Linked DNA regions of Drosophila melanogaster. The main gene of each other region encodes a partner of the protein of the gene in region 3 in a complex. Each region holds a gene or a part of one and is shown on either strand. Other genes may lie near its edges. The genes, in order: CSN5, CSN3 and CSN8.

What was found.
Region 1: CSN8 (region 3) and CSN5 share a complex: the UniProt entries of both Drosophila melanogaster proteins name them as parts of the CSN complex.
Region 2: CSN8 (region 3) and CSN3 share a complex: the UniProt entries of both Drosophila melanogaster proteins name them as parts of the CSN complex.

Annotation. Positions count from the first base shown.
Region 1 is NT_033777.3:16,468,369-16,472,016, reverse strand, and holds CSN5 (COP9 signalosome subunit 5), read right to left. Parts: upstream 1,919-3,648; 5' UTR 1,839-1,918; coding exon 1,578-1,838; intron 1,525-1,577; coding exon 948-1,524; intron 889-947; coding exon 743-888; 3' UTR 611-742; downstream 1-610. Other genes in the region: CG42232 (uncharacterized protein), read left to right, coding at 2,610-2,783, 2,846-3,067, 3,141-3,184, 3,342-3,648. UniProt on the Drosophila melanogaster protein: Probable protease subunit of the COP9 signalosome complex (CSN), a complex involved in various cellular and developmental processes.
Region 2 is NT_037436.4:20,838,500-20,843,464, forward strand, and holds CSN3 (COP9 signalosome subunit 3), read right to left. Parts: upstream 3,078-4,965; 5' UTR 2,966-3,077; coding exon 2,911-2,965; intron 2,798-2,910; coding exon 2,549-2,797; intron 2,490-2,548; coding exon 2,227-2,489; intron 2,169-2,226; coding exon 1,974-2,168; intron 1,903-1,973; coding exon 1,726-1,902; intron 1,399-1,725; coding exon 1,267-1,398; intron 1,208-1,266; coding exon 1,025-1,207; intron 967-1,024; coding exon 899-966; intron 842-898; coding exon 826-841; 3' UTR 597-825; downstream 1-596. Other genes in the region: CG13255 (uncharacterized protein), read left to right, coding at 1-86; CG11456 (uncharacterized protein), read left to right, coding at 3,552-3,850, 3,904-4,429, 4,482-4,859, 4,922-4,965. UniProt on the Drosophila melanogaster protein: Component of the COP9 signalosome complex (CSN), a complex involved in various cellular and developmental processes.
Region 3 is NT_033779.5:8,362,981-8,366,264, reverse strand, and holds CSN8 (COP9 signalosome subunit 8), read right to left. Parts: upstream 1,411-3,284; 5' UTR 1,343-1,410; coding exon 1,286-1,342; intron 1,226-1,285; coding exon 1,161-1,225; intron 1,113-1,160; coding exon 937-1,112; intron 877-936; coding exon 626-876; 3' UTR 602-625; downstream 1-601. Other genes in the region: RpS13 (ribosomal protein S13), read left to right, coding at 1,702-1,724, 1,950-2,077, 2,140-2,444. UniProt on the Drosophila melanogaster protein: Probable component of the COP9 signalosome complex (CSN), a complex involved in various cellular and developmental processes.

The DNA.
Region 1 (3,648 bases), on a different chromosome or scaffold from region 3:
AATTGATTGGGCCACGTGCTGGAAGGGCGTTGACATCTCACTTGTAGCTCTCGCTCCCAGGAGCAGACAGTAGACTACGGGTCTGTCAGGGAAACCCTAGAGCCCATCGGCAAACACGCAATCGGGGAATACAAGTTGTAAAATAAACCAAACGATGAAAATAATGAAACCATTTGATTGATGAGAGGGACGCATTCGCGGCTTGGCTTGTATAGCTAACCAGGCTGTGTAATATTTACTTTAAAAATCCCGAAGCAATTAGGGAATGTTTCAGTCGGTGGGCTTCAGTTGTTGCTTTGAGACCGGCTCGGGTTACATAATTCTAGACCAATTGATTTACCCAAGCATCACATTTTCGACAATGTTTTATCGCCATGTCCAATTATTTTATATTCTATAAATGTCAAATGCAGAAGCGTTTTTTATTTAACAATAAAAAGGTTTGTTTATCTGAAAGAATATAATAAATGGTGGATCGGCTGTTTTTCGTCCAGGCGAATAAAAGTTTCAACTTTTACTATGCCTTCCGTCGTCTAATACATAAATAACGAAAACAGTTTCTCTACAAAAAAGAACCCATTTTAAAAGTAAAAGCGTTTGAGATTTTTTTCATCAGCCTATGAGGCGGTTTTATAATTTCCTTTTTCTTTTGGATAAGCTTGACTTACTTAAATATTTCCCAGGGAAATGAAAAGAAAATTCACAATGCATTTTAAAATTCATTGCGAATTTTAGTGTTGAACTATTTGCCCAGTCCGACCTTGTTGAAAAGTTTGTCCTTAACAATCTGAGCCATCAAGCCGTGTATCAGTTCAATGGTGGAGCGGCTGCAGTCTCGGGTGGCCTTGGACAGCTTATCCTCCGAACGCTTCTCATTGACATCGGTTCCTGTGGATAATAAAGCGGGTAAATTATTTGCACAATTCCTAAATCGACCCATTATGTACCGCGACCTAAAAAGTTCTCACTCTGCTCCAGCTTCTCGGAGAGATCCATGATCTGACCGGTGGTGTACTCTGTGTTGGTGAGCAGACCCGAGCTGCCCAGTGTGTTTACCCAGTATTTGTTCCACAGAGAGTCGAGGAGCCTGCGGTCCAGAGCAGACTTGAAGTAGCTAATTTCCAAGGGATAGTACTGCTTGCAGTGGACTCCAAAGTCTTCGATCTTATTCAGCGGGATGGTCTGATACTCCGAGGGCTCCTCGTTTGGTGGCTTATAACCTTTTGGATACGTGCGGAATGCACCCAGACACACCTTGCCAGCGGAAACAGTGCGCACCGGATCAACCACAATGGCCACGAATGGCTCCTGGTATGTCTGGTTGAGCATCTGGGTGGACACATCGATGCCGGACAACCAGCAACCGTAACCGGGATGGCTGTGATACCAGCCCACGGCGTGTTCCATGCGTCCCACCTCTTTGGCCGCTTCCATGTAGGCGGTCATGTACTCGTACGCTTGTGCCTGGGCATTGACGCGGGTTTCAGTGCCCTCCACTGGCAGTGCAAATGCATCCATGACAATCTGCACGGGAATGACTTATAAATTGAGGACCTTTTTTACATTCAATAACTCACCATTGTGTTGTCCTCTACCTTGCCAAGCATTAGACCCATCACCTCCAAAGTACCGCCAGAGCGAGCGTGCATCACCATCTTTAGGAGCGCCAGAGCCGAGATCTTAATGTCCTTAAAGAAGTGGGGATCTTTCTCCCAGGGCTTCGCATCGATGATCTGCCGCTGCTGTTCGGCGTCGTAGCGAAAGATCTCGTCACAACTGGGCAACGTCTGGATGTTGTTCTCCAGCTCCCAGGTCTTTTGTGCGGCGTCGGAGTCCATTGTGATTGTACTTATGCCGAAAATTGTAGTCTTTTGTTGCAAGTTTTTGTTTTCCGGCTCAATTCTAGAGATGAACTTGTCGGTACCATCTGTACAATCAATTTCATGAAGGTACAATCGATATTTTTTATAAATCGATTATTATAAGTTAAGAAATTAAAATATTGATTAAAAAATTTAAAATTTATCTATATTAACAATTTATTTGTTTAATAAATAAAATGTATTTTTAATCGTTAATTTTTTACCAAGGAAAGTTTTTTAATTTAATTTTTCTGTTTACGATACGCACTCTAATTTGCAGCATTTTTGACTAAAAAAAACTTAAAACCTTATTTCATAGTGACAAAATGATTCATCGCAGTATCTGTAATCTGTATCTTTCTTTTCACTTCTTGAGATTAACCATTATTAATAATCACATAATATAAACCACTTTTAATTCAAGTAAGTTGTCAGTTCCTGCACCCCGAATTTTAAATGTAACGCATAAGCCGGCGCATTAAAAGCAGGTTGGCAGGGCTTGCGCGTCCATTGCAAAAAAATTCCTGCACAGAGTTTTCGCTACAATTAACTTTGGCAAGCTCGTGATGTGGGCCGTAAAAACAGTGTCTGGTGGAAAAGTGTGAAAGAAATCAGTGAATAGTTTGTGGGTGTTTTGTGTACGTGCATTTACCGTATTATTCCCAATAGCTTTGCGGCTTTTCAAAGTGCTCGCTTCGGTATTCGTTTTCCCCGCACCCAAGCCGCATTTGCGACGCCGCTTGGAAAATGTCGCTGGATGGCGGTAGGTTGCGCTACGAAGACGAAAATGGTAAAACCGTGGTTCTGGCAGCCAAAGGGCGCACCTTCCAGGTGGGCTCCTACTACAATTGCGACCTCATCCTGGAGGGGCCAGAGGAGGAGCGTCTAATTTGCGAAATAAACTGCGATGCCTTCGGCAGGGTGAGTCTGGATGGCAGGAATCCCCCTTAACCGCCCTAACATACTGCTTCTTCCGCCCTTAGGTCATCATATACAACAAGTCCAGCGGAGACCCCATTCATCTCAACGACGTGGCCATCCACGCTGCAGGCAAGCGTCCTTTGCTACACGGTGGCAAGATTACCATTCGAGACAAGGTCTACACGTGGGAGTTCCCCAAGACCTCCGAGGTGCAGGATGCCCCATGCACCCCAGAACGCCTATTGCCCAACGAACAGGCCTCAAACTCCTGCCCTTCATTGAAGGTAATAGCCGCCATCTGTTCCAGATAGTACAGTATTCCAAGTCCTACAATTTCCCCATTTTTATTTGATTTAGCAATCGCATCGTCTACAAGCCGAAAAACGCCTGACAGTTCACAAGTAAGTGAAAACAGCAGGCAGACCCCTAACCGACTACCTGGCCAACCCCTAAAATGTCTTTGGGCAACAACAATAGGAAAAAGTCCCTACTGCAAGCATGTGTTGTCTGCCTGTTAATAGTCCTCATAAAACCTTATCTCTGCTTATACCTTTTCAGTTTTCACTACAGCATCAATTCGGACGACGAAGGAAATACTTCTATAGAGTCTCGTGATCAGAGTGAGTCTCACTTGGAGGATGTCTCACTGAATGAATCAATTCAGCGCAGCACAGAGGAGACAGCTTACGAGTCCCCCAAAGTAAATCTTCTGGAGGCTACGCAGAATAAGGAGAATACCGCAACGCCACCAGGTAGCCACCAAAAGCTACTAAGGCTGTGCGCCATCTCCGACGTGGTTATTACCTCTTATTCGCCGCGCGAGACTGGCGTGAAGATCGAGAAATCCTTTTCATGTGTTCGAAAA
Region 2 (4,965 bases), on a different chromosome or scaffold from region 3:
ACGGCGAGGTATCAACGGGGCTGGTTTCTCCGGCACAGCAGCTGAAGACCTCCATCATGGAGCTAGACGCCATGAAGACCGGTTAGGATGGGTGCAGCGCAGCTGGCTATGAGAGGCGCGAGAATCTCAAGTCTCAGTCTCCGATGTCAGAGCTCCGGTTTTAATTCGGGCGATTGGAGCGATGTACGACGAACGACAGCTGCTGACCACCCACACGCACGAACCACACAACCTAGACGCCTGTTGATATGTTAAGCTATGCAACTAGACTAGACGTAAATAAATACACGAAACTAGGCTTACGAGTAGAAATTAACTACATTAAACGCGCTGGTCCTCTAGTCACTTAATTGTTTGTTTTTGCCCTAAGGTTAGGTTACATGTACATTGATATTGTAAATAAAATAACGTGAACGATAACTGAACTGCAATTAAGGTAGATTGGGGGCAAGTACAAAGCACTTAACCGATCCGTCCAGACAGTAAAACGTCGCCTGATCGAACGATGCGTAGAAAAGGCACAACAGCCTTATCGTTGCAGTATCGAGACGTATAATTTGTGAGTCAATCAAATGCGTGATAAGGATCCCTGACTTAGTCATAGATTTATACATAGTTTATTTAAAATAGCATGTTCATCTTTAAATTTGCAATAAGAGCGCAGTTTGTTGTTGTGGTAGCTGAATGAGTACGGACTGCAAGAGACGTCAGCTTTCGGGCCCAGGGCCTCGCGGCTTCGACAAGTTCTGGTAAACGGTGTTGGGGATTGGATGAGCGTAGAAATGATAGCAGCAGGCTGCTGGTGGTTCTGTGGCAGTGGTATCATCAATCTGTGGGATCACTGTAACAAAGGAAACATTACTAACAATTCTCGGTTCGTTTTTATTCCAAATCTCACCCCGAGAAAGTCTTTGGGTGCTGCGACGTTAGGTCATCATCCTGGCTGCCAAGAGCCTTTTTCACATACTGCCAAATGGAATTTAAACAAATAACATATAACCAATAACCTCACAATAGAACCTACCATTGGATTTAAAATGATCTCCTCCTCCATTTTGTTGATCTGCCTAACTTGATCCAGAACGTGTGTTATATTATTTTGCACGTTGAGGAACATCTCCGGTGAGTTGTATTTCTCTGGGTCGTCTTTGAACAACACCATACCGTCCTTTTGATTGATGCTGGCATATATTTCACCCGATTTTATCTGCAATTAGGTATTATCTCGGTATAAATAAAAAACGAAAAAAGAAGACAACTTCTTACCATGTTGAGAATGTAACGCTCTGCTTCGACTGCGCTGGCAAGTTGGACACGACTGGCCACATCGCTCAGGGAAAGGGTCAAGAAGGTTTTAGTGAGCCGCTGGATGTTTCGCTTGTACAAGGAGGTAGCCACCTAAGGGGATACCCAATATTAAAGTTTCATAGTTAGATGGTTCTGCCAGTTATCTTATTAAAAAACTGTGTTGTTTAGAATACAGAAAAATCTAAATTTAATTTCCACCGGAAATAATTTTATGTTTATATTATGTTTATACTTCCGCATAAATTTAATTATTTTTTTTTTATTTGAAACGGTGAGTAATTAAAAGTTCAATTTGTAGCACTGTTCAACCTTGAAAAGAATTGGGTGTTTTTAATTTTTTTTTCGAATACCGTCTTACTTTTTACATACGGAAGCCACAGATTAGAAAAGAACCAGGAATGACCCTTAAATACTTGCCTGCTTGGCCAGTCCCATATTGTTATCACGCGTAAATGCTTCACTGTACTTGAGTATGATAATGCGCAGCTCTTCGCTAGACGAATTCGCGTACACATTGACCAGGTCGTGGTAGTGATTGGCCATCGGCTTCATAAAACGACCAATGACCTGTGTGTTTTTTGGTATATACGCTATCTGCAACCGACACAAGATTTTCCGATTGAGAGACTGATATATAAACGGAACTAAATTGTTGTCCAGCTTACCTTGCCTTCGACGATGAGTGAAACCATGAGAAATTTTTTGTAGGCCTCCAGCATGATGTGCGACATGGCCATTGCCGGAGTGGTGATGCAGACTTCGAAGAAGTACAACGCACGCTCGTAGTTCTTCACCGCCGTGTAGATCATGCCGCCGTAGTAGAAGTACAGCAAGAAGTACTTGGCATCGTTGTTGGCATCCTAAAAAATTAATCTATGAGTTCTAGTAGCCCAGAAGTTCATTTTCAACCGTGAATACCGCGTGCTGGGACTGCTGCTGCTGTTGCGTCTTGCACTCGGCTGCCACGGTGGAGATGTCCGTGATGTCCGCGTCCAGATACGGCAGCACCACACTGAAGTTTTTCGCCTTCAGGCTGAGCAGGCAGAGATCGGCGTGTATGGGAGTTAACTGGGTTTCCAACTGTCGAATCTGGTCGATGGCGCGCGAAATGATGCGTATGCCCAGGATGCTGAGGTTCTTTTGCACCACAAACTCGGTAAACAGATGGCATGTTTCGTAAACTGAATGGGATATGTGATTACTTTTAGGGTACTTTTGGAACAGAAGATTCATGTCTCACAGGCGCACACCGCATAGCGCAGCTGCTCGTTATTGTTGCGCTGCACAAAGTCCCGCATCAGCTGGATAAGTTGTACCGGCTCCGGATTCGCGGTGGACGCACTGTGCAGTTTGGCCAGGAGCACATAGAGCACGCCCAGCGAGTGCTGCTGCATGTCTAGCGTCTCCAGCACGTTGTCCAGAATGCTCCAGTTGCGGGCTAGCAGCGACAGCGACTCCGGCAGCTCCTCGGCCAGCTCCCGATAGCTTCCTGTGATGAAAAGCCAGCCAGCAAAGTTAGTTGCGAATCGCTTTAATATCAAAACAAAGGCGGCAACGAGCCCGGTTTCTTGAGGATCGTTCTTCGCCGGTCGGCCAACTTACCGGACGCACTCAGTGTGCGCACTTGATTCACATAGTTTTCCAGCGCGCTGCCCATTTTAGGTAACTCCGAGACTACTTTTTGGCCTATTAACTTGCAAAACTGCGAAAAATAATTTCGCGAAATAACAAATGACTGCCGACGGATTAGAGCTGGGAATAAAACGATGAATATTCGGTGCTGTCGATTTCTTATCGATTAGTGGCCTAAAGACAGCGTTGTTCTACACTGGCTCTGTAATAACGCGCCATCTATAACTTATAACACTATCACTCAGCTGGAAAAATTTAGAACAGGCACACAAAAATTAAAGGATTAAGACACTTGATGCTCTTCTTTGTACTCTATACTATATAAATTTAATTCGCGCACTTACCATTAGAATCAGCGTTATGCCATGTTTATAATTTAATTTATGAAATTTTAAGAAAATTATTCTAAAACAACTAGTTCAAATTTCGATTAGAATCAGCGTTATGCCATGTTTATAATTTAGTTTATGAAATTTTAAGAAAATTATTCTAAAACAACTATTTCAAATTTCGATAGTGCAGCCGCGATAGTGCTCACTATTTTCGATAACACTTTGTTGCTGTTATTGAATTGCTGTTAATATCCCAATACGAAATGTAACTAATATAAAATGGAAAATTCTGCGCGAATCGTATATGTGTGCAGTCTCTGCCTTCGTCAATATGATCTCCAGGAGGATCTTCGAGGACATCTCGTCTACTTTCACGGCTATGAGCCCATCTCAACGCCCAGTGTCAAAAACAAAACTGCGAAGACTTCAACTAAGGAACAAACTGCAGCCGGCAGCAACAGCCAGGATAAGCAAACCGTTGTGGAGCGATCGGAGAACTCGGAACCCCCGGCAAGTGAACTGCAGCCCATGCCTTTCAAGGACTTTCGGCTGGTGCTAAGGGCCAACATGTTAGAGCCGTATGTATGTCCATATTATTACCATAAGCTTCTGACAAACTCGTTTGTTAAAGGTGCTCCTTTGGAAAGGAATGCCCCTTCAAGTTCCAAGATGCTACCAAAATGGAGCTCCACTGTAGTTGCCATAAGGGTGGCAGTTTTTCCTGCTGCGAATGTGGCATGGAACTGCCCAACTGGCGGCGGTGCTCGGCTCACCTGTGGAAAGCCCACCAGGTGGATGTGGACCTACTAGTGTGTCCCGTTTTCGAATGCAACTACAAGTCGCCCATATCCGCTCTCGTGTGGCGCCACATGCAGGTTCACAAAAAGTGGCGACCCAGGGTGCTCCGGTCACTGGCTGCCGTTCAGCGGAGAAGAAAGCTCAAGGAACAGTCCGCAGAGATGGCCGCGCAACCTGCTGCTCTGCCACCATCGTCAAAGAAAAACAAATACTATGCCGAGAAGACTTGCGAGATTTGCAATCGCAAGTTTGTCAACGGTAAAACGCTCTCTAAACACGTGAAGACTGTTCACAACAAAATCAAGCCATTTATCTGCAATGTGTGTGGCAAAAAGACGGCTCGCAAGGCTAGCTTAATAGTGAGTTCAGATAGCACTTTACGATCTTCTTGCTACCTAATACTCTTTCCAGATTCACATGCGTCAGCACACGGGCGAGAAGCCGCTGCAATGTGGCGAATGCAAGTTCTCCACTCGCGATCCCAGTGTCCTGCACAAGCATCGGCAGCGTCATGATAGCCAGGACACAAGGAGCAGCCTGAAATGTAGTCAGTGCGACTACTTCTGCATCCAAGCCAATGCTCTTAAGCGCCACATGCGGCTCAATCATGCCGAAGCCTATAGGGACTTGTGCTGTGATATCTGCAGCTTCACCTCAATTAATGTAGAACGACTACGAGCCCACAAACAGGATCATCGACAGGGCTTGATCACAAATTGTGAGGATTCTATGGATGCACGTGCCGCTGGCTTCAAGTATCCTCGAAAAGTGGGCGACAAGAACGGGGAGGTATGTCCCCTGATCTTCTCATCATCTTTTATCATTTGTATAAGCTACAGTTTATTTTGCAGATTTCAGCTGACTGTTTTATGCCGTTGGAGAGCGTGGATTCATT
Region 3 (3,284 bases):
AAATCGGGTCTTCTATTCTGCAGGCAAACGACGAGATTTCTATTTGGCCCTCTGGCGATTCGCAGTTTACTTCTTCAAGGTTACAAAATAATTTCGCAAGGTACTATATTTCGTCGCTGCAAATTTTCTAAGAATCCATACAATTATCCGCTGATTGCTGTTCTTTTCGAACGAAAAACGTACGTCGTTGGTGCAAATTAATATTTTTTTTCTTCAAGTGACACAACGGTAGAGGTGGAACGCATATCGGTTATCATTCGATACTATCGGCGTTTCCGCGCGTCGATAGATTTTCTGAAATATATTTTATTTAACTGAATTCTGAAGAATATTAAAATCACACTTATTAAATTAGGCCAAGAATATGATTATATATCTACATAGATTACATGGAAAATTATAATTCTGTAGCCTTAGTTTCTAGTTCCTAATTTTTAGGTATACTTCCAAAAGCTAATTCGTACAAAACCCAATGGCGCCAATTCGGTGATTTAGCTAATATTTATAAATATGTCTAATAACGATATTAATCGAGTGTTTTTTAGATTGACACAGGCTGTGTGACCATAACTTTTCTTCAAATGTATACAAAAATCCAATTAAATGTATTGAAATTTATTGAGGCTTAATTCTCTAGGAAGGTTACAAACTCGGTCAACTTAAGCAACTGGTCATCGTTTCCACGAGCTGGCGGTGCTTCCTGAACCTTGGGCTTCAGGATTACCCGGTCACCGTCCAGTTCCTCAGTCCAATTTAAGGCCGCACAGGCGTGTTTCAGTTCGTCCTCCGACATTAGTGACAATTCCAGTAGATTGTGCTGGTAAATGGACATATATGCGCTGCCCATTAGTTTGAACAGCTCTTCGCGTTGCTTATCTAAGTAGATACATTATAAGTTTTTATATCCAATTAGTAAGCTTTTAGGCATAGCCATACTTAGAAGATCCTCCACAGGTGACTTTACTCTTTCCGACCACTCATACTTGATGTGTTTGAAGAAATCGGCATAGTTATTGTTCTGCAGGGCAATATTGAGCAGGTTCAGCTGGATCAGTTCCTTGTCATCCCTTAGGTTAGCTGGAACTCTCATCCACAACAACTTGGCATCAGCCCTGTAGCACAAGATTAAAATATGTATTTCTTTTATATCAATCACTTACAGTTTGTTTTGATAGAGGTAAATAGCAAGTAATTGCTGGTAGACTTCAGCTCCCAGTTCGACTTGCTGTAAAAGTATGGTTTTCTAGAATTCCATCTGTAGTGAATATATTAAACGATCACTCACCTCAAATTCCTCGTTCTCAAGCCGCTCCACTACTTCACTATATTTATTTAAATGCATTTTATTGGTAAATTCTTGGTCGGGAAACAATAATGTGACCGTTTAGCGTGCTGCAAGAAATGAAACCTTCCCAAAGCACTCCTGTGCTTGTGTAGAGTCTAGCTGACAATAGTATACATATATCGATAGCTAAATGAATTATTTTTACACAAATTAGCTTTCTATTTCCCTTTAATAAATCCTGTAATAGTCACTTAAAGTAAAGTTTTGAATATCACAACATATTGTAAGCGCATTAAAAAAAATATCGCTAAGCATCCCGTTATCGATAGCTGCTTTGACAGGTCTCCACATCGTAGAGCTGTCAACGTGCCAAAAGTCTCCACCTTCTTTTCGGTGTCAAAAACTAGACTATCAAGATGGGTCGTATGCACGCTCCTGGGTAAAAATGAAATTTTTCATTGTTTTCGATGCCTGTGTGCCAAGCTGAATGCATGCAAAATGTGTCTGCCGTGCGGGTTGAACGAATGAATGTGTTTAATGCGTTTCTACGGTGGTTTTAGTGTGTTAATTATCGACCGCAAAGGCAAGCACATGGTGCAGACGTATTCGCATTTGACAGGCGCCGCCATAAACGCGTACTAACATTTGTGTATTTCGTTCACAGCAAGGGTATTTCCCAATCAGCCCTCCCCTACAGACGCACTGTCCCATCCTGGCTGAAACTGAACGCAGATGATGTCAAGGAGCAGATTAAGAAGCTGGGCAAGAAGGGTCTGACTCCCTCCAAAATCGGTGAGCACTGCCGAGTATGTTGTTGTTTGAGGTTATGTTAATCCGGAATCCGGTTTTTACAGGCATCATCCTGCGTGACTCGCACGGAGTTGCCCAGGTGCGTTTCGTCAACGGAAACAAGATCCTGCGCATCATGAAGTCGGTGGGTCTGAAGCCCGACATTCCCGAGGATCTGTACCACATGATCAAGAAGGCCGTCGCCATCCGCAAGCACTTGGAGCGCAACCGCAAGGACAAGGACGGCAAGTTCCGTCTGATTCTGGTCGAGTCCAGGATCCACCGCCTGGCCCGCTACTACAAGACCAAGAGCGTCCTGCCCCCCAACTGGAAATACGAGTCGAGCACTGCCTCCGCCCTGGTTGCCTAAGTTCTTGATTCGCTAGTTGGTAGTTTGTTTTCAAGTCTTGCGGGGTCCTACATTTCCATCAATGTACAACCAATAAACCCAACAAATAAAACTGGAAATCGGAACTATTTTATAGACTAAACAAATTATGTGTGGTTTATTTACTTCAATAATTTCCAGTAATCTGCTTCAATGATTTCCAAACTCAAACTTGATACTATTTACCTGTGGCTAGCTTTAATTCAAATTCAGCGGCATCTCCAATAATGGAACTTTGTGAAACAGCTTAAAGGATGTGGACTAAAACCCAAAATGCTTTTAAATACATATGTGCAGCCCAGTCTGGGTGTTTCATACCGGAATACTTTTAGGAACAACATGATATATTCATTTTGAAAGTGCGCTTTGGGGAATGCTTTTAAGTATGTATTGATCATCGATTATGCCTTAATTGTTAGAGCTGAACGTATGTTTTTATTCCTGGTGTGTTACAACGTTATTTCCCAATTAAGGGGGTGTTTTAAATTTCGAAATGGAGATTAGGCGCAATAATTTAAAAAACACCTATCGAAATAACGAAATTGGAATGTTCCACTCCTTTAACATTCACTTGTTGCATGGTTTTCAGCAAGAAACTGCAAATCACATATGTACATAAATATATACAAATGTTTGTATGTATGTGCCACACTAGGGGGCACACAGGTAACAATTTTACAGTGGTACTTCTTTAACGTGAATAGCTGAGGATGTTAAAACCCTGATGGCCTCTTATCGCGTTTTCAATTTCAAATACATGCATGTATTTATATGTGAGGGGGAGAAGTGGACAATAATGTTATTGATTAACATTAATATTTT